Linked DNA regions of Xenopus tropicalis. The protein of the gene in region 2 interacts with the protein of the main gene of each other region in a pairwise test. Links are inferred from orthologs where the notes say so. Each region holds a gene or a part of one and is shown on either strand. Other genes may lie near its edges.

Region 1 (13,271 bases), on a different chromosome or scaffold from region 2:
GCGGCAGGGAAATGATGTCACTCACACAGATGTGCCGTCACTCACAATGGGAAGTGATGTCAGTTCCATTTATATCCAATGCCTAGGGTGGCACTGGACCTAAATACAGCACTGAACACATTGAGTGAATCTTGGTCCAGAAATGCATACTTCTGCATTTCCGTGCCAAAATCCACCTTCATGTGCCTGCACTTAGGCCGATGCCACTTGGTGCAGATACGGAAGCGAGTAGAGGCTAGCTGGCCAGCTAATTCAATTAGCCCTGTCTAAAAGTAGCCTTAATCCTATACTAGCTTATTGTACTGGAAACTGTCAATCCTTAACTATTACACACAGTCTTTTGGCCAGTATTGCTCTGAGATTTAAGCCAATAATCACTTAGTGGAACATTTATGGGCCATGGAGCAAGATGAGAATCAGCTGCTGGTGGGTTTTAGTATTTTGACAGCCAGTGTTCTCCATACAGACTGCTGCGATCAAAACACCTGCGGTTCTGTTTGAGGTTAGTCCCCCTATATCAAATGATATTTTTTAGGGGTTGCCACATGAAGTTTGACTATGTATGTGACACACAGATTAACACCCATTCACCCAACACATTTTTAATATAACACAGGTTCACTGATCATTGACAGGAAGATGCAGTTAACAACTCATGTCAGGTCGGAAGGGAGTGGGTCATTGGTTTCTCCCTTGTTGTAAATACATCAGTCAAGAAAAAACCTAATGCAACATATCCAGACTGGCTAAGGTTTTCTGCCACTTTTCCATGTTTGTTAACCAGAAGTATGATGTCTCTAACTCCTTCAAGAATAACTAATCTGATTAATCTGTAACTCTCACTGTAAAATACAAAAATCCAAAACACTGAAACCCCTCAACTAAGGATTTTGCTGTCTAGCTTTCCAATAAATACACTACTTGTAATATTAAAAAACCTAATCAAGAACACATTCAGGCATCAGGAACCAATATGTTTAAATAACACACAATAGCTTATCAAGTTGAATTTTTTTTTTCCATAGGGATACAAACATGCTACTGCTCAGGAAAGAGAAGGGAGCCACCGGCACATAAGAACAATGAACTGGTGAAACTCCAGGTCTCAGTTAAATACTTTTTCCTTCTAATAGGAATAAAATGTACTGCCAGATGCTGTCAAATGAAGCAATCACAGAAATCTAATTAACACTGAGTATGCAAAAGAGCCATAAAGTCTGTATAATAATGCTAAATGCAGGATCTACAGTCACACCTGAATGGCTACAAACTGGGAGTAAATGAGGTACTGTACATGCATGCCTACAGAGATACATAGTATACTAATATTTGAACGGTTTTGTATACAGTCAGAACAAACTGTAAAAAGTAACATAATATAGTAATTTAGGCCACTTAGGACACATTTCCATCAAGTTCAACCTTTTATACCTAAATGAAACCTGCCTTACTGCTTGATCCACAACCTCTTCACATGTGTAACGGTACAAAGTGATATATTCCGCAGCTTGCAGAAGCAAAATTGGCTCACACTAACTGCATTTAGTCACAAGAAACCCCAAAATCTCAATCCACCTCTGGCCATAACAAGCCAGAGTAAAAATGGCCATACATGGGCATACTTAAGATGCTAATTTGGCCCCATCAGACCAATTTGGCAGCTTATTGGCCCTCCAATGGGCCTACGTGACCAATATCTGGCCAAAAATATGCCAAATATTGATCATGCAGGCAGGCTTGATTTTCCTGTTGGATCAAGGACCTTAATGGCTTGTTGATGTGGTCCACGTCCTGATGGCCTGTATCCCGTCATTATGATCCAATCAATTGTCCCTAGGGCTTAATGCTGGCCATATATTATAAGATCCGCTTATTGGTTTGCTGCCAATATGGTCACCTATAGTTCTGCAATCAAAAGAGCCAAACATAGAGAGGATAAATCTGCCTCCAATAGTTATGGGAACAGGCCAAGGGGAAAATGTAGTCACTTGACACCACTGTGTATAGTCCATAACAAGCCACTGCTGTAGAATTACCGTCAGGTTGTTGGCTGTATGGGAAGACTGATGAAAAGTTCCCCAATGCCAATACCAATAAGCCGATGTGGTCCTCAATCCAATGGGAAAATCAAACCTGCCTGATAGAGATCTGGCCAATTTTCACTTATACAGGGACAGATTAAGTGCCAACTCAGTCTGAAGGGACACTGGCTAACAACTTCCTCTCCATTTTCCGTCAGAAAATTCAATGCATTGTTGCTCATTTAAATTTGTAAACCTAGTTGCTGTGCTGTATGCATGACACGTTAAAATCAAACAAACACATGGGTAATATTTACTACAACATCAGCCAAAAACATGTTACAAGCCCATTAATCATCATCTATCTACTAAAAGAGTTCATGAGTTACATATTCAGATGTGATGTTTTGAACTACTAAGAACTTATTTTGTGACTGATTTTAATTTTTTCAGAGCATTTGTGAATGGCACATCACTGAAGACTGTCCATGGCTAATTTACAGTTCTGCAAAGCTCATTCCCTGACACTAACAACATTTTCATTGTTTGGTTTGAGGGATTGGCCTAAGCAAAATGTTGGAATCAGTGATATAGCCATATACTGCTGACCACTGCCTGTGCAAAAGAGACAGGGAAAGAAAAAAACAATAATGAGTAACATTAGCAGGCAAAAAGGAAAAAAATCAGAAGCATAAGCAAGGGCCTCTGGATTAGCGATGTACCGACCAGCCCGAAAACATTGGGACCTGTGGGTCGGGATCCTCCTCGCCTGAGACCTTACACTTCCCATCTTCCACATCCGAAAGCCTCTATGTATCGGAATACGCCTGCCCTACCCTGCCTCCTTTGTGGCATGAGAGATGGGGCAGGTAGAGTGCGAGTCTAAAATAAAGGTGCATTGTTGGGTCAGGTTGGGAGGCAGTGGGTTAGGGACATTTTGTCAACCAGCACATCACTACACTGGAGTTATACAGGTTTCATGTTGATGGACAAAATATGCCATAAAATCCCTTTCTGTCATCAAGAGTGTCAGTCCCTAACTATAGCTAGGTCTGTGGTATGGGCAGCTTGTGTGCAAACTTCCCAGTCCCACATGAAATACATAAAAGAATTACCTGCAACATAAAGATTTTCTAAAAAATGTACCCTCTAATTCCTTCTTGGCTATGTAAGCAAAAAATTATTTTGTGCGCATTTTTAAAAAGTGTGTGCTGAGGTCAGAAAAATTACAAAATGTTGTGTTCTTGCACAAATTTTTTTTGTGTGCATTGCAATTTGTTGTGTACGGTGGCCTCTAAATTTTCATGCACGAGAACAAGGTTACAGGTTACAGTGTATGTTCTTTGTCATTTTACATTTTATCCAAAAGAAAAGCCTTTTTCCATATCTATTATCCTGCAGCAAGCCAGCATGCACTTCTGATCACAGGCTTTGTGTAAAAGAAATAAAACACATGCCAGGCTAAGGCAGGTTGGATCCAAAACAGGAAATGTCCTTTCCAGCATGGGTGGGAACAGAACTCTTTCCTCCCTGTATGGCATTTAAAGCAGATTTCAAATTACTTTTATTTCATTGGCACATTATCCTAATAAAATGACAAATTTTATTTTTACATATTACACTTCCTCTGAGTCTATTATTGTGAAATAAATAATATTCATACCTTCAAAGCCTTCCTCATCCAGCATCAGTGTGTAATCTTCTGGTGTTTCTGTCAAGCTGAAGAACTTGCATCTATCAAATAAAGAGAGAAACTCACATTTAAATGAAAAGTACAGCTTGGTTGGCTCAATGTACAAACTAGATAGCAGCCAAACAATTATTCCAATCAATAGCAAATGCTCTGCAATTTTTTGTGTGCCACATTGACAGATTTTCTATAGCACAATATTATAATAAAGGACACCCTGACATTTAATATGCACAAAGTGAATGATGTTGTGTGACCAGATTCTAATGATTGCAAAAATCCATGTCTATAAACCCCCTCACATAGAAGTGAACACTTGCACCTAGGTACTGAAATCAAAGTTACAAATTATAGTTTTGCACTATACAGCATGCACAAGGCTGGTATTTTCACTAGTGTGCTACTAAGTGACAAAACCAAAAGTCCAGCTGACTACTAAGAAAATGTTTTCCTGTAAGTGTTAGTCAAGTGACAAACTTTATACTTTTCTTGTCTAGTAAACCACACTAACTTTTTAGACCCTAGGCCTAGAGTATGATTAACAATACTTTGTACTGGAACTTTTTCAAGCATGATGAAAATCACTAAAACCGTGTTAGAGGCCAGAGCCTAAGTTATATTAGATTTATGCTAAAAGATAAAAGTTCAAAGCTGGTCAGTAATAAACTGTTATAGGTACAGGGGTACATTTGGACTAAAAAGGCTTAAGCCTGCATTGTCTGGCTTTAGCTCTGCTTTAAAGGAGTGGTTCACCTTTAAGATAACTTTTATCGTTATAGTGCAGTGATCCCCAACCAGTGTCTCAGGAGCAACATGCTGCTTACCAACCCCTTGGATGTTGCTCCAAGTGGCCTCAAAGCAGGTGCTTATTTTTTAATTCCTAGCTTAAAGAATTCCTAGCTTATGCTGGCTGCAAAAAAACAGATGTACTGCCAAGCAGAGACCTCTGTAGGCTGCCATTCCATATAGGGGCTACAAAATAGCCAAATCACAGCTCCTATATGGAACCAGGAACTTGAGTCATGCTTGTGTTGCTCCCCAAATCTTTTAACATTTGATTGTGGCTCACTGGTAAAAAAGGTTGGGGATCCCGGTTATTGAGAATGCCATATTCCTAGCCACTTCAAAATTGGTATTACTTATTCATTATTTATAGTTTCTATTCAATCCCTTTATCTTCCAGTCTCTCATTCAAAACACTGCTTGGTTGCTGAGGTGAACATGACCCTAGCAACCAGAAAGCTGACATTATTCCAAACTAGAGAGAGTTGGCGAACAAAAAAAAGCTAAATAACTAAAAACCCAAAATAAAAAAAAATGATAACTGCAAATTGATATTCTGAGACAATGTCTATGTCATACTAAAAGTGAATTTAATGGCAGCTGCCCGGAAGACAATACTACACAAATGGCTAGCCTCAGATACCCCATCCCATAATACTAGCAAAACAAAAACTACACCATATTTTCTACATGGATTGGTTGGAGACAACAACTAAGAAAGAAGAAATCACTGCAAAATTCGTCAACACATGGCTTACATATATATCCTCTTTACCTCAGACAATCATAAATCTCACGGTCTAGACATTCAGACAAACCACATGGTATGACATAGAAACACTCAAGGAACACCCACTCCTGATTGAAGCATCCCAGTACTTTCAAAACCTGCAAATCCAAGAAACTAACCAACAAAACTACGAACCCCCCAGGAGTCAACAAATAAATAAAATGTTGGCAACATACTTACAGTAAAAATAAATTCCACAAGGTCCAGGACGAACAGGTATGAGCTAAAAGTTCAAATTTTGTTAAATATGTTGAACCCAAATGTTTTATTTTCTACTACTCTACCTACAAGACACAAATTTAAGATAACAAATAACCACAAATGTTGTAATAGAAATGTTTGATGACATGAAAATAAAAACAAAGTTTAAAAAAAAAAAAGTGAATTTAAAGGTGAACAACTCCTTTTAAGTAATGGAAAATGTACTGCTAATTCAATGTATATCAATGGATTCAGTAATTCTCTGAGCCTAAACCATAATGGCTTTCCCACAAATATAGGCCTACTGACTATTTTCCCAGTAGGCATTTTTCTACTAACATGTAACATGTCTACTGATAGGTATAGATTCCATCAAATCCCAACTCAGTTAGGCAGTCTTCTGCTACTTCTTGCTTTGAAAAACCCCAATGCCACCAAATGATCACCCCTAACAGAGATCAACTGAGAGCTGAAAGGCGCACTTGCAATGCACCACCACAATCTTAAGAGATGGTTTGGGGAGACCTGTTGCACACCCCCACTGATGTGTGCAGCTTGTATCTTGCATTTTACACTGGTGTTATCAGAAAGCTCCACATGCTATATTCCCTTAAATAGCCTCACACAGGAAGAACAAGCACATCCATTTGCGACAGGTGTATAATTTCTGCAGTAACCAGGTTACAGCCATTTCCAGCTCAGAAAGCCAGTACATAAAACTGCCATGGAAAAATGTTACTTATCACATGGGACAGCAACATATGGAGCAAATGGAACATATCCAGGTGGTATGTGTCCAGTACAGGGCAGATTTCCAATTTAAGATAAATCAGGGTTAATTTTGCATCAAATAGTACTATTAGATTTGATTTAGCACCACTTGATACCTAGCCCTGAATGGGATCACTTTACACTAAGTGCAATCTATAGCCAGAAGAGAGTGTGCTTCTATTGCTACTACACATCAAGCTCCATTGTTTTAGCTATAACATAAATTGTTTTAGTTAAAACATCTACATAATAGAAACAGATTGTTCTCTCCAGCAAGTTAAAACAAGCAGTCCACAATGGCAGACATACCAACTCATTTCCTACTCTGCTTAGTAGATAAGCGTCACCGGCCCTCTAGCAAGAGAACAGGAACACCTGTCTTGTTTTAACATGAGAGAATGAGCTGTTCTATATATTTTAAAAGTAAATATGGGTACAGATATAGACTCTTTAATGTGAAAAGCCATTCTCCAGAAAGGTTTGACATACAAATTTTTAATTTTCATAATGTCCAATTTAAACAAGCATTTTTTTTTTTTTTAAATCATTTCCTTTTTCTCTGTAATATTAAAACAGTAGCTTGTACTTGACACTAAACTGCATGAATCCATATTGGTAGCAACACAGTCCTACTGAGTTGATTTAATGTTTTTGCAAGCATTAAGGTACAGTGCCCCAAGCTACAGAAAGACCCTTTAATACCCTTTATCCAAAAACCTTGGGTCCCCAGCTTTCTTAATAGCAGATCCCATAACTGTATTTCAGGAAAGTGACTCATACGCAAAGTAGCAAACTAAATAATAAGATAAATAACAGGAAATGAAGCACACATTTTCTTTTACTCTAGGTCCCCCTTTTAATTGTTTAAGTGTAACAGTGAGTGCTTTCTTGCACTGAGGAGAGTGTGTCTGTCTTTGTAGGTCACACAGTTAATCTTGTGCAAATGTATAGGATGCCTTTGTATGTGAGCACTGGGATGTCTTATGAAATGTGGTCATATCATTAATCGCTTACAGAAATTCTTTATAAAAAAAAAAAAAAAAAACGGTTAACCAAGAACCTTGTATTGTATGTAGCACAGTGCCTATTATGATATATATATATATATATATATATATATATTTATTACACACTGCAGGAAACCATGCTTTATTGATCTCACTGGGATCTGGAACACAACAGCAGGGCATGCAGGCATAACTAGTTTCTCTATGCCCATCATCACACTCACACTGGATGCAGAGCCCAATACTAATCAGTCGGTGCATTACAGAATAGAAGCAAGTGGTCACAGCTGATAAAACGCTCTCACATAGACTGAATGTCAGGAAACTGCCAGGGGCAGCAAGCCAAACTCAGAACATGCTGCCTGGCCTGTGCAATTCATGCCCCTAAATGAGCTGCCCAACTGTTGTTCAATTACAACTCCCACCATGTGACTACAGCTTCAGGAGCTCAGTGGATGCTGCTAGGATTTGTAGTGCAACAGCTGTAGGAGAACCCTACCCACAATGGCAGGACAGCAAGGATACCAGGCACAGGTTGCAGGATGCCAGCACTGTAGGTGCAGATATTAGACAGGTGCAGTAACCAATAGCAACCACACTAACCGCTAGTGAGGATGAAATCAAAAGGCAAAGGCAAGTGCAAGTGCAGTCCTTGCCCCACATGGTTCCCTGATGCAATGCAATGCAATGAGACTGAACCATCGGCCAAGTTCTAGGACTAGTCGGGCAAGCCGTGCAACTCGTAAATGATCTACAGTGCAGGTCCCTTCCTCACTCATATGCAGCTGGTGCTGCCAGTGTTAGGGGCAATAGTGCTCTCTCTCCCCGAGTACCACAGCCCAGCAGCTTTGGCTCTCTCCCCGCCCGTGTGTTCTTTATATACCTGGTGCGCTGCCTCAGGAACAGTAGTTTGACCAGCGGGTGGGTGTAGAACCACAGGCCACACTTCTCAATGCTGGTCACTCGCACCCGATGCTCCAGCAGCTGTAGATCCATTGCACGGACACCCAGCCGAGACCCACAGCGTGCTCCACGGGGCGTGGCCTTGCTAGGAAGGGATGTGTCAATCAGTAGCATGGGCCGGGCTCATAGTGACACACAGGGTGATGTGCCGGCTGACCCGAAACCCAGTGGGTTCGGCCCGAATATTGGATGTTCATGGCGGGTGCGGGTCGGGTACCTGATATTCTTGGAAGGTATTGCAGGCCATGGGATGGAAGAGGCTGAACAGACAGTAACAGGAACCAGAGGGGGGGCGGTACGGATAGCAGATCGCTCACTGAGGGAAAAAACATTGATTGATGTGGGGAAAGGGGAGGGGCGAGAAGCTGCAGAAGTTAGGGACTGAGGGCAAATTTACACTTTTCATTAAATAGTAGAGACGTTCTAGTAGTGTGTGCATCGTTCCCTCTCTGGTAGTCAGCTACTCGACTGCCTATCATTGTAATTTTATTGCCCGCAAAGCCTTTCCTGATGCTGTATCACAGGCAGCCAGTGCCTTACTGCCAGCAATTACTGTTCAGAGGAGAGAGCAGCCTTATACACGCCCCCTGTGGTTTGTTGCCCGCCCAGCTGCTCAATCAGCAATAGAATTTATTGTGGCCCCGCCCATAACGTCATGGAACCGCCTCGCCTCCCAAACATTCTCTGCCTCTTCAGGTTTGCAAGGTTTGAGAGCAGCAACAATAAACATGTCTTCAGCTTGATCTAGTACTAGTAGCTCAAAGGCACACCAGGAAAATCCCACCTGCTTGTGACATTAAAAATACATGTGATTTGTTGCAAAGTGGAGAACTTAAAGTACAACAGAAAAAAGATGCAGAAATCTATAGTGTGGAAACAATTTGGGGGAGGTAGTTAGCGCAGACAAATGTAAATACAAAGGCTATGTAAGCTGTGTGAAATGCAAAGCACTTTATAAATATGACAGTCACAAGACTGGTACTTCTAATCTAAGCAGACACATATGTGGGCAAAGTTCCACAGGTAGAACCACTGCAGCATCTTCTCCTTACATAGCAGAGCCAGCAACAACAAAGCCTATAGTGTCATACTTTCTAAAAGATGTATCTAAAATTCCAGTAAATGTCAAATTACAGTTGTTAGATTCATGTGTTGATTTGTACTGTATGGATATTAGGCCTTTTGATATTGTGACAGGAAGGATTTAAGCGCTTTGCCCAGTCACTTATTAATATTGGTGCTACCTATGGATCTGTTAGTGCAGATATGATTCTTCCCCACAGAAATACTATATGTAAGAAGGCTGTAGAAACAGCTAAATTAGAAAAGCACTAGAAGATGGCATAGCAATCACTACTGATATGTGGACTGACAAACACCATAAACAGGCATATACTGTGCTAACTTGCCACTTTTTACATGTAGTCAATACCTGGCTATTAAAAGCCAAAGTCATTGCATTATCCGAATTTGAGGCAGGAGTTTCTAAAACAGCTGAAAATCTTACTGGGCAGATTAACAAAGAACTGTCTGAATATGGCATTACATCCAAGTTATATTCCAAAATTGTGTTTGTGAGTGACCAAGGTGCAAACATCAAAGCTGCTCTTCTCAATTGTCATTGGATTCTATGTTGAGCATATGTACTGAATACAGTGCTTAAGCATACGTTTGATGGCAATTCATTACCACGAGAAATAAAAGAGGTAATCTCCATTATAGATAAATGCAAAAAAAATCTGGAACAGTTGCAAGAGTTCCAGAGTATCGGTCCCTCTTTGTGCCCTGGTTTAAGGAGTTTATGAGCGAGCCAAAAATCAGTTATAAATCCTCCTCAGGCTTTTGCCTGATTTAATTTGCAGTAGTACAGTCCTTACCATTGCCACAGCAACTATTAGCTATAGTACAGCATCATCCACACTCAGTGCCACCACCACCTCCAGTACAAGCCATCAACTAATTTAGCTACTACTTCTCATTTTCAATGAGGTTTTCACAGGTTTTCTGTGTGAGTTTGGCATTACATTATTTTCTTTAGTTTTAATTCATATACCTAGTATGAACTATGTGTGTGTAGACTGACTGTACTCCTGCAGTCTAATAGGCAAGTAAAGCCCCCACTGTTGCCTGACCCCCTGGCCTGGCCCCTACCCCACTGATTGAGCTGCCTCGATTAAAAAGACTTGGACTCACTGCTTACAATCTACACTGATCCTGCACTACATTTGGATGAAACTGCTTAGGTGGCCCTCCTGTCTGGAGTCACAATTAGACAAAATAAGTAAAAAAAGGTTCATGTCTTTTGCTTTTGTATACCTGACTCTATATCAATGTGCTGTATTGCATTGACCAAGAAACCATAATGTGAGATCCTGGCTGTGTTTTCTAAAATATGGCTTTTTGTGACTCACACCACTGATAAGCGGGTGCGGGTCCTACAATGGAAACATTTTGCGGGTTAGGGTCAGGTGTGGGTTGAGTTTTTCCTGACCCGCACATCACTAGTAGGCACAGAAGGACCATCTGATAGATATTGATTTGGGCCATAGTCTCAATATTATTAGTATTCTGCTGTTATGCTTTTCACTATTATTATTATAACTACAATTTGCTTTTTAGCCTCTTAACTCTCAGCCTGTAACATTTCTCTTTTTAGCGCCATGCCCAGATCTCTGGAAAACTTCAGTCTGGTAAATGTATTGGGCAAAGGCATCTTTAGAAAGGTGTGTTGCTATGTCCGTAATAAGGATTTGTACCATACTAAGGCATAGGCACTGAACCTATGGTCTCATTCCAGGTGTTCCTGGCAGAGTACAAGGACCCAAAATAACTATGTGCCATAAAGACTATAAGATAAGATTACTGCCAGGAGTGATATCAAGAGGTCAGTAAAATGGGTCTCATTACTATTTCTCTGCTCTCTGTGATATTCTGAAATCTTTAATTTAGTCATATATATGTAACCCTATCCTCACCGCTTCTGGCACTTTTGACAGTGTTACACTCCACGTGTGGCGCTTACCTGATGGCACGGGACAAACCTGAATCACTCCGCAGTGGTATTGGGAGAGACTGGGTACCTGGTACTTATTAGCGCAGTGCCTCCACCTAGTGGGATCCGGGAGTGCACCTACGGGTGGCCCCACTAGGAACAATAATAATGCACACACAGTACTTGATAAACGAAATAACTTTTATCTGAATAAAGGGGAAACTAATACAGATAACACTCCTATCAAAGTGGCAATAAGGGCCTTACTAACTAGCTTTGCCAGCGCAAGCTATCTCACTAACTATGTACAGTCCTTTAGCTCAGTCCAAAGGAAAGTTTATATACTTTAATCTTCAAGCGCTCCTTTATTAGTTTCACTTTAATGATACTCACTCCAGGGATCTCTTTGGGTGATTCACACAGAATCTTCAGGCGAGTCCAGCACTCACAGCCATGCAGTGCGACTACTAGCCCCTTTAGGTACTCAGATGGGATTCCCCTGCAGGTGTTTGTTCCTCCAGTCAGGACTCCTCACAGAATCTCTGTCTCTCCAGGTACAGGGTCTGCCTTCCCTGTACCAGCCTGTTCCAAAGGCCAGCTTCTTCTTGTGCTGCTCCTCTCTCTGAGCCCACGTGCAGCTTCTGGAGCTCTGGGACTTTCTGTCTCCTCCCTCAGGCTTCCTCTCCCAGGCTGCTTTGCAACTTCCGGCAGCCCTGAGCTTGCTGTTCACCTTGTTGCTAGGCAGCAGCTCACAGCACAAAGTCTCAGTGCCAGCTCCCCTACAGGGAACAGCAGCAGGAGGGGGGTAAGTGCAGGGACCCAGCACTACCTCCCTACATTCTCCCCCTGCTTGAATGGGCAACGTCCTCGCTTGCCCTTTCTCACCATTCTTATTCTCCCTAACCTTTGGGGGAGATACACAGGGGAAAGCTTTCTCACTAACTGCCCTGACACTTCCCCTGCCTGAAGGTCTACGCATTCCCAGGCCCAGTCTCTTACTTTTATTGGGGATGCCAGAGTGCTCAGAGACCATCCTCGTGCCACAGGATTTCTCTTCACAAATATCCACTTCACATGGAAAAGATGTCACATATACATCAGTGAAGTCTTCATTCCGTCCCCAGTCACAGGTGTGGGAAGTATGACCGTACCAACCACAGGTGTAACACCTCACCTGATTACGTCTCTTCCGATACCTCTTTTGGGGTGGCTTCCTCACATCACAGCCATATGAAATAACTTCTGTAGCTGCAGCATTTTCACGTTGCGTCGGACAGTGTGGGGATATATGGCCCAACCGGCCACAACGGAAGCACTTTGGTGGGTCACCGCGAGCACCACCTGCTTTAGGAAATGAAGAGGTTCTAGACATAGTTGACCCCTCTTCCTTTTCGGACACACGAGCCTTGAGCTGAGCAACCTGTTTTTTTAACTCAGCAATCTCTTCCGCTTTCTGCGAATCACTGTATGTCCTTTCAGAACCACGACTTTTCTTCTCTCGTCGCAGAACATTAACTTCCTCCTTTCGGATCTCCCGGATCAGCTCCTGATAAGTTGGTTCTTTCTTTCCTCTGTAGAAAGATCTCAACATCACAGCTGTGGGATCCATAGATAAAGCCCCTCTGAATAACTGTTGTAGCCTCATAGAATCAACACGATCTGTAGCAATGATTCTTCGGCAAACAAGTAATTTTAGCATTTGCTGCAGTCGCTTCAAGTACTCAGACAGATTCTCTTTTTCTTTCTGCATGCAAGACTGAAATTTGTACAACATTTCAATTTCATCTTCCACCGGTCCATATGTATCTTCCAGTACTTCTATCAACTTCTCAGGACCATCTTGTGGGCACACCTCTCGGTGGAGCTTAATTAGGTCCAATGCAGGCCCTCGCAAACTCTCTTGGATCTTGCGACATAAAGCAGGACCAGAGCCAGGCCAATCGGTAATAGCAACCAAAGCAGCATCTCTCCAGGCCTCAAAGGTCTCTTCACCTGGAGGAGTAGGTTCCATACCTGAGAATATTTTTAGTCTCTTATAATTTCCATTGTATGC
Region 2 (12,792 bases):
CTCTATGCCAAACTCCAGGTGTTTAATAAACTAGTTAAAAAGCAAAGAACCAAGGTCTGATCCCTGTGGTACTCCACTAACAACACTGGCCCAATTAGAAAATATATTAATATATTAAAACTCTCTGTAATCTATCCTTCAGCCAAGTACACATATTATGTTTCAGGCCAAAATTCCTCAATTTTATTATTAACATTCTGTGCGGTACTGTATCAAATGCTTTAGCAAAGTTGATGACATCCACTGCCATTCCACCGTCAAGGTTTCTGTTTACCTCCTGTTTTATGATTAAAACACATGCTATCAGCTCTTATTTTTAATGCTCCTGATAAAGAGGTTTCTCCTATGGGGTAAACAAAAATGTACTAACATGTATAATAGGGAGGGTGAAGCAGAGTGGATTGTGGTAAAACTGCAGCTATTCATAACAAGACATGTCTGAGTAATCTGACCATTGCTACTTAATTTCCAAGAAACATTAAGATTTATAATTAAGAAAAAAGAAAGAGTCTTTAGTTGCCCTATAATAACTCATTCACAGTTGAATGTTGTGTTTTTTTCTTCGCCTATGTCACAATATTTACTCTGTTATAACTGCTGACAAAGCACAGCAAGCCTGTAAAACAAATATGTTCTGTAAACACAATTCACATTTCAGACAAGTTCTTGAGAGTCAAAGGGGAAAATCCTCCCAAAGTTTTTATTATAATGAAATAGTTTGTAAATTATTTGTAATTGTAACTGAAAGTGAAAGCAGCATTGTTTGTCTCTGAATTGCATATTCTGGCTTAATAGCTAAATCCAGAAACATACTTATTTCCATAGCCTTTTGAAGGGAAACAATCACCCCATTACTAAGTCAACCCTTCAGAACTTTTCTGGACTACAAGCGCACTCAGTATAGTCTGCATCAGGAAAGGGCTTGCGAGTAAGTGAGGTACATGTACGTCTACAAGTGCAGACAGTAAAGTGAAATTTTGAGCGCAATCCGCATGTTGTTTTCCCCACAGTGAAGCGTTTTCGCTTAGAACTCTGGTGTTATTTTGGTTGAAGAGGGGTGATGCTCTTGTTGCAATTGTGCTGCGCCTACCGCAGTTGTGTCTGATTAGCCGACAGACGAAACTGCTTGTGTGCTTTCTTGCAAATTAGGCTCAGTTTTTCCAAATATGTTTGAAATCTGTATGGTGGCATTTCTGATGTTTGGTGTGTGATTGATGCACTCTATTCCTATGAAATTTTCAGTTTGCACACCCAACCATTCAGAAGCCCAATGCCCAACCTTATCTATGTATGGACCAACAACCTTTGCTTAATAGTAAAAAACTAATTTCAGACCATGTGAATGAAGCTTTCAAGAGATCCTGTACTGTAAGCATTGTTACCCCTTGCTGTTGAAGCAGCAAAGTGAATATACAATTAAAACTCTGGAAATTCTGCTTACTCATGGCAGGCGCAAAGTACAGGGTCCTTTTGCTCCAGAGTACGCTGCACAACCTATTCTGCAAAGCAGGCGCAACTGGCTATTGGTGCATGGTGCTAATATATATGGGAGTGCAAGTAGGTACAAGCCCATTAGAGAAGGCAGCCTTGATTGGCACAATTCTGCACCTATTTTTGCACCTAGCACTATGGCTTGTTAATGAGGTCTCCTTTATTTAATTTTTTACTCCATAAATGAATCATGGATAATTGATATCAGTCAGACAAGCTGTTCAATTCATAGTTTGTCTATAGTATTAGACACAAAAATTCTGACTTACATTGTGACCTGCAAACTTAAATCTTTTACTTAAAGCAACATGACATAGTAGAAAGTGATTTGTAGACATCCTGTGATGCCAATTCAGTGACATTATCTTTTCTTTCTCCTAAAATGAACTGGAAATGGCATTCGCTCCGGGGAAGTTCTTTTATTGCCTTCATTCTGGTCTAAAAATTATTCTCCTTATTCTTCTTTTCTAAAGAAATGTAACAGGTGGGGTACATACAGATAAATAAAATGCATATATACTGTATATGCACTCTGCTGAGTCAGTAAAGCCAGCATCTTTGGCCATCTAACGTATAAATGCACATATACAGGCAGTACAGCCCTGTCAATTCAGTAAAAACAGTTGCAGGTTGCTACCAACACCCCAGAGGGTTCCTGTGTGTATATAAAAACACTATGTTTATATACATAACACTTCTAAACATTCTACTAATTTTTTCTCTTGAAGTTAAAAAAAAAAATGCATGCTACATATCCTACTAAATTGCTGAATGAATTTTCATACACAAAGCTCTCGCCTTCCTCACATCCATTACATATAGGTATGGGATCCCTTATCCGGAAACCCATTATCCAGAAAGCTCCGAATTACGGAAAGCCTGTCTCCCATAGACTCTATTTTAATCAAATAATTCAGAATTTTAAAACTGATTTCCTTTTTCTCTGTAATAATAAAACAGTATCTTGTAATTGATCCCAACTAAGATATAAATAATCCTTATTGGATGGAAAATAATCCTATTGGGTTTAATTAATGGTTTATTGATTTTTTAGTAGGCTTATGGTATGGAGACCCAAATTACGGAAATACCCCTTATACGGAATACCCTTGGTCCCGAGCATTCTGGATAATGGGTCCTATACCTGTAATACACCAGCCAACCAATATTACATGCCAATACACGTGTACCTTATGTTGTATGTCTTCTTCAAATGAGCTTCCAAACTGTTCCCATTACACAAGGTCCCACCTGTGGTTCTGACTTACCCCTCAGGTTTAAAATGTTTATCAACATTACTTCCTGATCCCCAACTTGCCCATAACATTTTCTAGACGTCACCTTCCAATTCCTACCTGGTTATTTTCCAGCATCTTCCTTCCAAACTGTACTTGCTGCTAAAAAGCCTCACAAAAAACACACTGCAAAAAAGGCTTCAGCCAGCCCTCTAAACTTGTGTATTACTGGCCTCTAATTAAGCTTTATTACTTTGGAACAGATTGTTCTCTACGGTAATAGCATCTGGGTACTCTTAGTCCAGTGTTTTTTTTTTTAATACCCCTAAAAAGCCTTGCCAAAGCACCCTCTTACTGCCCCCAATAGACTTGTATGTGCAGCCCTGGCAAGCTGTGCAAGCTCTTACAGACTGTTGCGTTTTTAGGAAACTATTGCCTGATAAGCATGTGCACAAGCACTTGCAGGTGGTTTACATTAAAGCCGGTATGTTTACAGAAAGCTAGGATAAAATCTAGCCAAGCCTAGTCCCTAATCTGCTCTGGATGGAACTGTAACAACAATATTTTATGTTTTTGTATGGCGGTTGGGGCTGAAAGGTTAATAGACAGCAAAAGGATGCAGGCCTGAATCCGAAAAGTTTCAACAGCCCTGCTCTGTATTCTGTAGCTTCACAGCTGCTAATTGACAGTGCAGTGCAAAATGGGCATGGGTTGTGTGACCACCATATGAGAACTGCTTACCCCCAGTCCCGGCATCAGAGCAAATAATTATTGAAAAGTACAGGCAGGTCTTAAAGGAGAAGGAAAGGCTAAGTCACTTGGGGGTGCCAAAATGTTAGGCACCCCCAAGTGACTTAGAGCGCCTACCTTGTACCCCGGGCTGGTGCCCCTGTACGGAGGGAACAGCACCAGCCCGGGGCACCTGTAGACACCGCTTCCTCCTTCCTTTGCGCGCTGCCGGCGAAATCCGCCGGCCGGCGCATGGGCAGTAGAGTGAAAAGCCGACTTTAATGTTTAAGTTCGGCTTTTCACTCTACTGCGCATGCGCACGCAAGCGAGGAGGAAGGAGGAAGCGCCGGCAGCTACCCCGGGCTGGTGCTGTTCCCTCCGTACAGGGGCACCAGCCCGGGGTACAAGGTAGGCGTTCTAAGTCACTTGGGGGTGCCTAACATTTTGGCACCCCCAAGTGACTTAGCCTTTCCTTCTCCTTTAAAGTTAAATATGCAGTCAGAATAATTTTGTACATCAGACTGTAAAGGTGGGCTGTTAACTGGACTTACCCAGCCTGAGGACTTGTAACAGTTGTAGAATTTTTATGTGCCGGAGACTGAGTTTGATATTTATTTCCCGGAGCTCCACTGTTTGCTACTGATTTTCCTGATGGGATACCTGAATGTAGGAGAAGATTAAAGTAGCAAATTGTAACAAGGAATCTCTGCCAGTGATGGCACTTACATTTCAGTAATACATATATACTGTATATATGCAGGCATTGTCGCTTGAATGTACAGCAATTCCCAATAGCTGGAAGACCACTGTTATTAGTAAAGCATTGGCAGAAAAGAGTAAAAAGAGGTCTTGCACATAAGTGTAAGTTTATGTATATGATAACACTAACCCATACACAGAAATATTAAAGTCTACCTGAGGTGGTTTTTCCAAAATTTGGTGGCTGTGGCAGTCGTGAAGCCGGGGATGATACAGCCGCGGGTGAGTTAGTCTTCTTAAGACTCAGTGGCTTATGCTGCAAAAATAATGGTATATTAGTTGTTGCCATAGGTTAATACAGTGAGGCAAATAAATGCTTTGTTGCTACACAGGTCCAATACAGGCTTAATGATCTTGACCTTGTAATGGAAAGTATTAAATAGTTTCACACATCAACTTAAATCTTCAACAAAAGATTTGTTTGAATTGTGATCCCTAATTTTCACATTCAAATTGCGATTTGTGAACCAAAATGTCCACATTCAATTGTTCTAAGCTTTAAAGTCACATGGTTTATAGGTTCAGAGTTAATTCTTCTGAACGAAAAATACTTAGTCAGAAAATAGTAGTGAGATCTCTAAGGCTTGTGTTTTCATTTGGGGTGGATTGCCACCTAAAACCTGACAAATGTTTTTGACAGCTAAGGATTCGGCCAAATATGAATCCTGAAAAAATACCCCACAAAGATTCAGCTGAAACCTAGAAAGAATGCAGGATTATATTGGAGGTTAACTGACCAGTATCATTAAACAGTGAAAATAGCTTATTTAAAGGACAAGGCAATGCAAAATATATTTTTTTGCCTAATAAAAGAAAACACAATTCTAAGCAGCTTTGCAATATACATTTATTACAAATTTGTAATTTTTGAGTTATTTGTATTTAAAATTGCTATTAGAGGCAGTGTTTGCCTGTCATTTTCTATTCTCTGCCCTGGTGGCTCTGACTGTTGAAACAATGTAACGCAAGGCAGCAGATTGACAGACCTGGCTTGCTGGAGGAGACTGACAGTTGCAACATTGTTAAAAAAGTAACAACCAGGAGTTCAGCAAATGCTGCTCTCAATAGCTATTACATTTACAAATAACTTTTAAAGCGCTACAAATTTTTAATTATTTCATATTGGAAAATTGCTTAGAATTATGTTTTCTTTATTTATGCAAATAATTATTTTTGGGGTTGACATGCCCTTTAAATGTAAAGTTTGTACCTGTTCATTCAGCACCTACATATAAATTCTTTTTTATATTGGTTTATAACGGTTTTATCCTGTAATCCCATAGAAAGCCACAAATAGCATCTGACCACTGTTTAGTTTCCTGTATAAAAATTAAACCCACTGGAATCTAAACAGTTTATCTGCAATCTGCTCTCTAAACACAAGCCTTTTTGCCTAATTCATCTTGAATGACTAACCCCATGGCTACCCAGTCCCTTGTTAATATAAACTATAGTGGTGTTTCCAAAGCACACACATTTTTTTTACCAGTGCAGGGCAATAATATTTAAATGCATATAAAAAAATTTTGGTTTTTGATGTAACTGTTCCTTCTAATGTTTATTTTATAGGGTATCATGCTTATAAATTCTGCAAAAACCCAAGGAAGCGTAAAAAAATGAATTTGTCTATCCAGCTAGAAGGAAACCCTACCTTTCATTTCAACATATAAACCAATGCAATATTTGCTTCAAAGAGCTGGACCTTTAGCACTTTGGAAGAGCTATGCACGATACAAACCATGCCAGCGATTGCTATCAACTTTCATTAGTGTTTGTGATGGCATTGCCCTTTGATATGATTATTGTATGGGTGCACCTTAGATGACCTACATGCTTTGTGCAACTAGTTTAAAATAGGAAACCCCTTGAAAATAGCCTGTAAGGAATGAAGGAAAATACACAGGATTGAAGTCCATGATGTGCTACCTTGGCAAAACCATCTGTCATGTGGATCTACGCCAGCTATTCACAAACTGTGGGGCTGGTGCCTCTTGCGGGACATAGAGAAGTGATTGAGGGGCCCAGTATGAATGCTGGTTAGGGTAAGATTTGTGGATAATGTTTATTTGCTCTCCTGGATATACCTGAGAGTCCAGCATGGCAGTAAATTAAAGTCTATCCAATATATTTGCTATCCAAATATTCTTGGAACTATGGCTGAATGACTGATAACAACTGTCTTACATCTGTCACCTTGTGCCAAAACCACGTTTTGCCAAGATTCCTTTTTAACTGCAAAATAGATCAGTTAAGAAGATCATTTGCACCTGATGACCTAATCATACTTATATAGTTTCTTTCTTGAAGGCTCAGAAACATTTTAGCACCTTCCCATAAATCAAAAGATAAGCCAACCATGCAGTTATAAACTATTGCAAGACTTCACATCCAAAAAACCATCTGAAATGTGGACCCAGGGGTGAGCCAAGCCAACTGGGCACCTTAGGCAACCCAGTCGGCCACCTTGCCCCTGCACCTTCCCCCACCTCACGTGTGCCATCAAGCAGTGAGGGAGTTATTGCCCCACCGTGTAATAACAACCGGCTGGGGCAAGAGAAGGGGTAAGGGGTAGGCAGGAGAGGTTCCTGTCTGGCGCCCTAGGCAGGTGCCTCTTCTGCCTACCCCTAGTTCCAGCCCTGTGTGGACCTAAGGGCCAACCAAATCTTATCCGCAGCTCCACTAATTTATAGTCTGTAATTTCTTTCTGGCATAGTTGTTCTCCTTTGTTGGCCATGTTTTTGGTAGCATCTGCTAGTTATTCATGACTAGTTATATGCAAAATACAACACTCTTTTCAAAATTTCCCCCCAAATTTATTATTACCTGGGGACGTGGTGCTGGTTTTCCTTTGGGATCTGGGCCTCCTTTCATTTTATTTCCCATGCGTGCAGCTTGCTCCTTGCAGAAGTTTATGTGTCGATCAGCAGCATTCTGATTAAATCTCCTCTGACAATAGGGACACTGAACATAATCTAAATTTAAAAAAGAAACAGTAAAATGCAGGTGTTACACAATGCTTATGTACTGATTTGTTTTTGGAAAATGACTGTTTTGCTACATGATGTATGATGCCTATGTATGTCATTATTAGTTTATTATGATTAGGACTTCATGTAGTAAAAAAGGTAAAGTTGTGCTCATCACTAAATTTTATACCTTTGGGGTGCAATGGGGGTGTGACCACAAAATTCATACAAAGATAAAATACAAGAGTAAGTGGCATAAAACAGCCAAGATAATGGAAAGCACTTATGGCAGCCGTAGTGCTTGTGGTAAATAGTAAGGTGGCGGATAAACCTGCCCTATGCTAGGATACAGCAAAGCCACATATTCCATCTCTTTTCTCTCAATGTAGTGAAGCCAGTTATAATGTACTGCTAATTACACATGCAGAGTTAGCCTCATTTGCTGGACGAATGTGCACCAACCTATAGCAACCAATAAGAAATTCACTTTAATTAGTCGGCTGCATGTGGCACCATAAAGGAAAATAGCTGGTTGCTATGGATTTTGTCCAGTATCAGTAACTGTGTGATAGTCCTGGGCTCTTGGGGACCTATCTGTAAAACATCATGCAAATACTGTATATTTTTTCTGGATAGAATGGGTGTTCTTCTTGCATAAAAAGCAGATATAAAACTAGGAAGCTACTTTATATTCTGGCAATAATGAGCAATTAGGAAGCTTCTTTATATGCTGGCAATAGTGAGCAATTTGCTAGATGGTGTTAGGGAATGATAATATTCTGTCTGACTTGAAAGGACTACATCAATCATAGATCTGCATTTGGCATCTGCTAATATTAGCAGATAATGCAGGGAGATGAGGCTGTATAGGCAATAGAGCAGTTATATGGCCTATATCAGATAGATAATGATCTGCAGATATATTAACAAAGTCATACCAGGGTCATATGAAGGTGGGGGTGGAGGTGGAAGCTCACCACCTTCTTTTATAATCTGAGAAATTCCTTTAGCAGCTCTTATAGTGGCAATAAATTCTTCATGTTTCCTCCTCCAGGTGGACTGCTTTTTGGGAGGTTCTGGCTAAAAGAAAGAATGCATATAATTAAGCAAGCCAAGGCACCAAACTCAAAAGGAAGTTCTAGGATTGCTTGAGAAATAAAAAAAAAAAAAAAAGAAAATAATTTTTTATTCAAAATAATTAATCAAAACAAAATTTATCCTTTTGCTTGGGATGCAATATATGTGTTTGAATAAAGCAGCAAACTAAAAAAACATTTGATTATTACTGCTTTTAATTTATTAAAGTTGACTTAATAAAAAATACAGTTAGCGGCAGACAGCAAAAGATACCAACTAATATGATCTTTAAAAAGCAGCTTTCCAATAACGTTATGAGTGACCTACGAATTTACCACTGGAGGGCAGCACCGAACATTATAAGCAGCCTATACATAGTATATACGTTGTGTATATTTCCAAATGATAGATAGATAGAAATAATGCATAAACGTGTATTTAAATATTATTCCACCACACAAATTACAGTTACCAATCGGAATTTAATGGGATTCAGTAAAGACTCCCCTTACTTTCTTAGACAACACTGAATCACTGACCAGAATATGCCAATTCTTTCTCAGGAACATCACAAGAATAAGTTATTTCCTGCACCTATTCACCAGGCTACACTAAAGCTGGTCATACATGGGCTGACAACATTAATTAAACCCAATAGGATTACATTGCCTTCAATAAGAATTCCTTTTTAAAAGTTAGGATCAAGACCACTATTGTTTTATTATTACAGAGAAATGGAATTTATTTATAAAAAAGTAAATTGGAATCTTCTTCCACTTTTAAAATAGTTCTCTCCTCTGCACAGAGAGGTCCCTCCTCTGCTTCACAACCACTTCAATGCCGGGGAGCCTGGATATGCCAAATCTGTTCTGTGTTCTCAAGCCAGGTATGGGAAAGGGGGCAGCCAATTTTTTTAAAATCAGTGTATGTGTTTGGTTCCTTGCCCTTCAAATTAAAAAGTCATTCCAAATCAACAAGGAAATCCAAAGAAGTTTACCTATTCATAACTGATGGCCAACATTCAGTGACTGATAAAATCTCAAAACAATGGTTGGGGGCATCAGAATGGATGGTGGGAATAAAAATAAAGGCGTGAAATAGAAGGGGAGGTCAAACAGAAGGTGTAAGAATAAGAGGTTGTGAAAAACGGAGTAAGTAGAAGGGAAAATTTGAAATGAAGACAAGTAAACGGGGAGAGAAGAAGGGACAGATTGAGATAAAGAAAGCAGAGAAGAAAAAAAAAATCTTCAAAAGAAAAGGAGCAAATCACAACAGACCTGTAAATAGGTCACCCAACTACTAATGTTTTTATTAAACCTTCCTGCTGCCAGCTATGGTTCCTTTCCAAAGGCATTGTAATTGAGTAGTGGTAGTGGTCCAGAAGAAATTGGTAGTATTTACTCATATATAATCTTGTAATTAACCAGCTTCTCATTACTCTCAATATTTACAGACAAGGTATTTTTTAGAATTTAAAACCATTGTGCAAGTTTTATAAGTCTGCTTGGTGTCATTTCTGGTGTTTGGCATGAGAGTGACATGAGCACCCAATTCTTTAAATGCATGTGTGCAGCACCTATGGTTGCGGGGTGCAAAGGGAATCTTGGAGCTACCGCCTGGAACAGAGAAACAGCAGTGGTAAATTCGTAAGGGCTAGCAGGAATGACTGAGGGGCGCTAAGCACAGCTATGCAGAAGTGCAGAGAGTGCATTTGATACAAGTACCTTTAATAAATTGGGTTTATAACACATAGACTGTAGGGAAACTAACAGAAGTGCAATAAATGTCATAAATGACATTAACCGTTATAACAATCATACACCAACCCAACTATTGGCTTTTACTGTGATAGGCTGCCTTTCCTTGTATTTCTCATTCCAGAAGACTGACACAGGTCTAAGGTTTTCTAAGCCCCTATAGCCAAAGTACCATCAAAGCTGATGGGTACACAGTGAAAGTAGTTTAAATAAAAACATCTTTTGCACAGGTCTGAGAACCCATTTGTTTGGAGCTAGTGTAGACCAGCATATAATGCATGTAGCCAGGCTGTTAGTTAGAGAGTTCTTTCCACTGCATATTATCTTATATATTTTTTTCCAACTTTCTCACTAATTAAGCAATAGACCACACATGGTGCTGTCATGTTCACATAATATTTATTCTCCTCATAAATTACATTAAAGGGTAACTCTACCCTTGTACAGACAAATGGATTCATGGTTGACAAGCAATACAATTAGCAGTGATATTTTTGTGCAGTACAGCAGAAATGACTAAGTAATACGGTGTTTCTTGTGATTTGGCATATTCCTAAACTACAATATGGAGCATTACTTACCCGTGCCTTTACTGGTTTTACTGTACTGATATCTGTTCCCTCTGCTCTTTGCCTGCTTGAATCAAAGGCTTTTCTCTTTTTCACAGCTGATTTTTGGCAAATCGGAATGTGTTTTTTCTGTTAAATTAATATAAAAAAATGCATTAGTGCAAATGAATTTATGTAACAGATGCAGCGTTTCACCTAATGACACATGTGGCGGTGGAGAGAATGTCAATCTGCCCAGGGCCCTGTGACCAATGGCAGGATCTGCATGTCAGCTCTCACATCTCCATGCTTGTGTCTATTCATATGGGTGGTTACCAAGTTGCAGAAATCCCATGTAAATGAAAGTGACCTCCAGTGTCCAAATAATCTTTAAAGGAAATGTAGGGATATTTTGGCTATTGTAGGAAAACTGAGGCTGTGGCTCCAAATCAGGAAAATTCCTTTGAAGCTTATTACCCCCTGCTCAGATTATCAGGCTGTTTTTGTAAATCAAGCCTTTGCTCATAATAAAGTAAAATAATAAAATAAATATGTAAAGTTATAATTTAGCTGTAGGTAGTAGGTACAGTTTCAGGATGGATATAAATAATACAATGTTTAAAAAATATAATGAAATAACAACAGGTAGGACATAATAATTAATTACTGATTATAATAAATGCAGAAATAAAATATAATATGTATACAGCAGGATCTGTATACCCTATAGTACCAAGCCCACTTAGTTAAACCAACCAGTGTCATTCAACAGACTTGGCTTTTTTCACTGTTCCACTTGCCCAATCAGCTCTGAGATCAGCCACTGGTATGTGCAGGGCAGGGTGTGTTGTAGTGGCATTTAGATGCTGTTTAGGTATGGGTTCATTTACATCCAGGACTAGGTACAGGTTGTATCTGGAAGAGCATTTTGCTCTACTGTTGTACACTTGCCACCCCTTCAGCTAACCCCCTTTATATTGGCTAGACAGAATTGTAAAATCTCATCAGCAGTATGGTTACCTTTGTGAAATAGATATAATTTAGACTGTAAGCTCTACGGTGCAGGGACCTCCATCCTCTTGTCTCTATGATTCTTAACTTATTACACCTGTACCTTGTATTTATTATCATACTTTGTATTTATCTATTATTATTTTAATAACACCCTGTATTCATTTATTGTTCAACTGTACAGCTACTGTGCACATAAGTAGCTCTTTATAAAAAATATATATAAACTATAATTTTGCTTTTCCTCATGCGTTCAGATATAGACTTGCATTTGTGTTTTAAATAATTGTCTTACTGTGTAACCAAATTATATTTCCCCTTTATCACATGAACAGATGACTGGACATTCACCAAGAATTTCTGGGTCCAGTGCAGACTCAGTCCAATCTGTTTGTAGATGAAGGCCTGGGGATCATCTAGGTCAGCGGTTCTTGTCAAAGGACCCTTTCACAGGGGTCACCTAAGACCATTGGAAAACACATATTTCTGATGGTTTTAGCAATAATTTTATGGTTGGGGGTCACCACAACATGAGGAACTAACTGTATTAAAGGCGGCATTAGGAAGGTTGAGAACCACTGATTTTAAATCAATAAGAGAAGAAAGAGCCTACAGAAAGAAAGGATTAGAATTGTCTAGGTGTTTTATTTTGCAAATCTGAGATAAGCATTCAGTGACCTTAGCTGAGGCTAGAGGGCCCTGCAGTTCTAATCTGTAAAAATTTGCCACTGTTCCAAGTCTTCATTTGGAGATGCTGGCTCTCACTGTGGTTGGATGGAGTCCCTGAGCCTTAGACATGGATTAGTAACCATTTTCAAGCTAACAGATTTCATCAACTCTTTTCTCATCTCTTATGAAATTTCCTTTTATCATGGGATAGTGTTCTTGTAGGAACTTTGTGGTGACTGCTCCGCTCTCATTGTTCACACTCGTTTTTTGTTATGATTCGCTTTTTTTGTGCTAAAACTATAATTTTTCACCATTTATTATGCGTCAAAGCCACAAAAATTCAAATGCAAAAGTACGACATCTAAAGGTTGTAACAATCTTTATTTAATTTGTGGTTTTCAGGGTTTTTTGTCATTTGTAAGTCCACAAAGATTCGTAAGAAATTTAAAAACCATGAAAAATTTGTGTTTTTCTTGGTCATTTTTTTTTGCGCATTTTAATTTCTTTATGCTTTTTCAATTTGGATCTTCTAATAAATGACCAGACATCC

Evidence for each region.
Region 1: the proteins of zc2hc1a (region 2) and castor1 interact in binary tests that used the Homo sapiens proteins (3 or more experiments, as listed by UniProt). The two-hybrid records come from large-scale screens. The link is inferred for Xenopus tropicalis from reciprocal best matches to the Homo sapiens genes ZC2HC1A and CASTOR1.

What each region holds. Positions count from the first base shown.
Region 1 is NC_030677.2:144,399,804-144,413,074, reverse strand, and holds the start of castor1 (GATS-like protein 3), read right to left. Parts: upstream 8,497-13,271; 5' UTR 8,260-8,496; coding exon 8,147-8,259; intron 3,756-8,146; coding exon 3,685-3,755; intron 1-3,684. UniProt on the Homo sapiens protein: Functions as an intracellular arginine sensor within the amino acid-sensing branch of the TORC1 signaling pathway. As a homodimer or a heterodimer with CASTOR2, binds and inhibits the GATOR subcomplex GATOR2 and thereby mTORC1.
Region 2 is NC_030682.2:123,228,317-123,241,108, reverse strand, and holds part of zc2hc1a (zinc finger C2HC domain-containing protein 1A), read right to left. Parts: intron 10,713-12,792; coding exon 10,596-10,712; intron 8,261-10,595; coding exon 8,119-8,260; intron 7,187-8,118; coding exon 7,038-7,186; intron 4,471-7,037; coding exon 4,371-4,470; intron 4,116-4,370; coding exon 4,007-4,115; intron 1-4,006.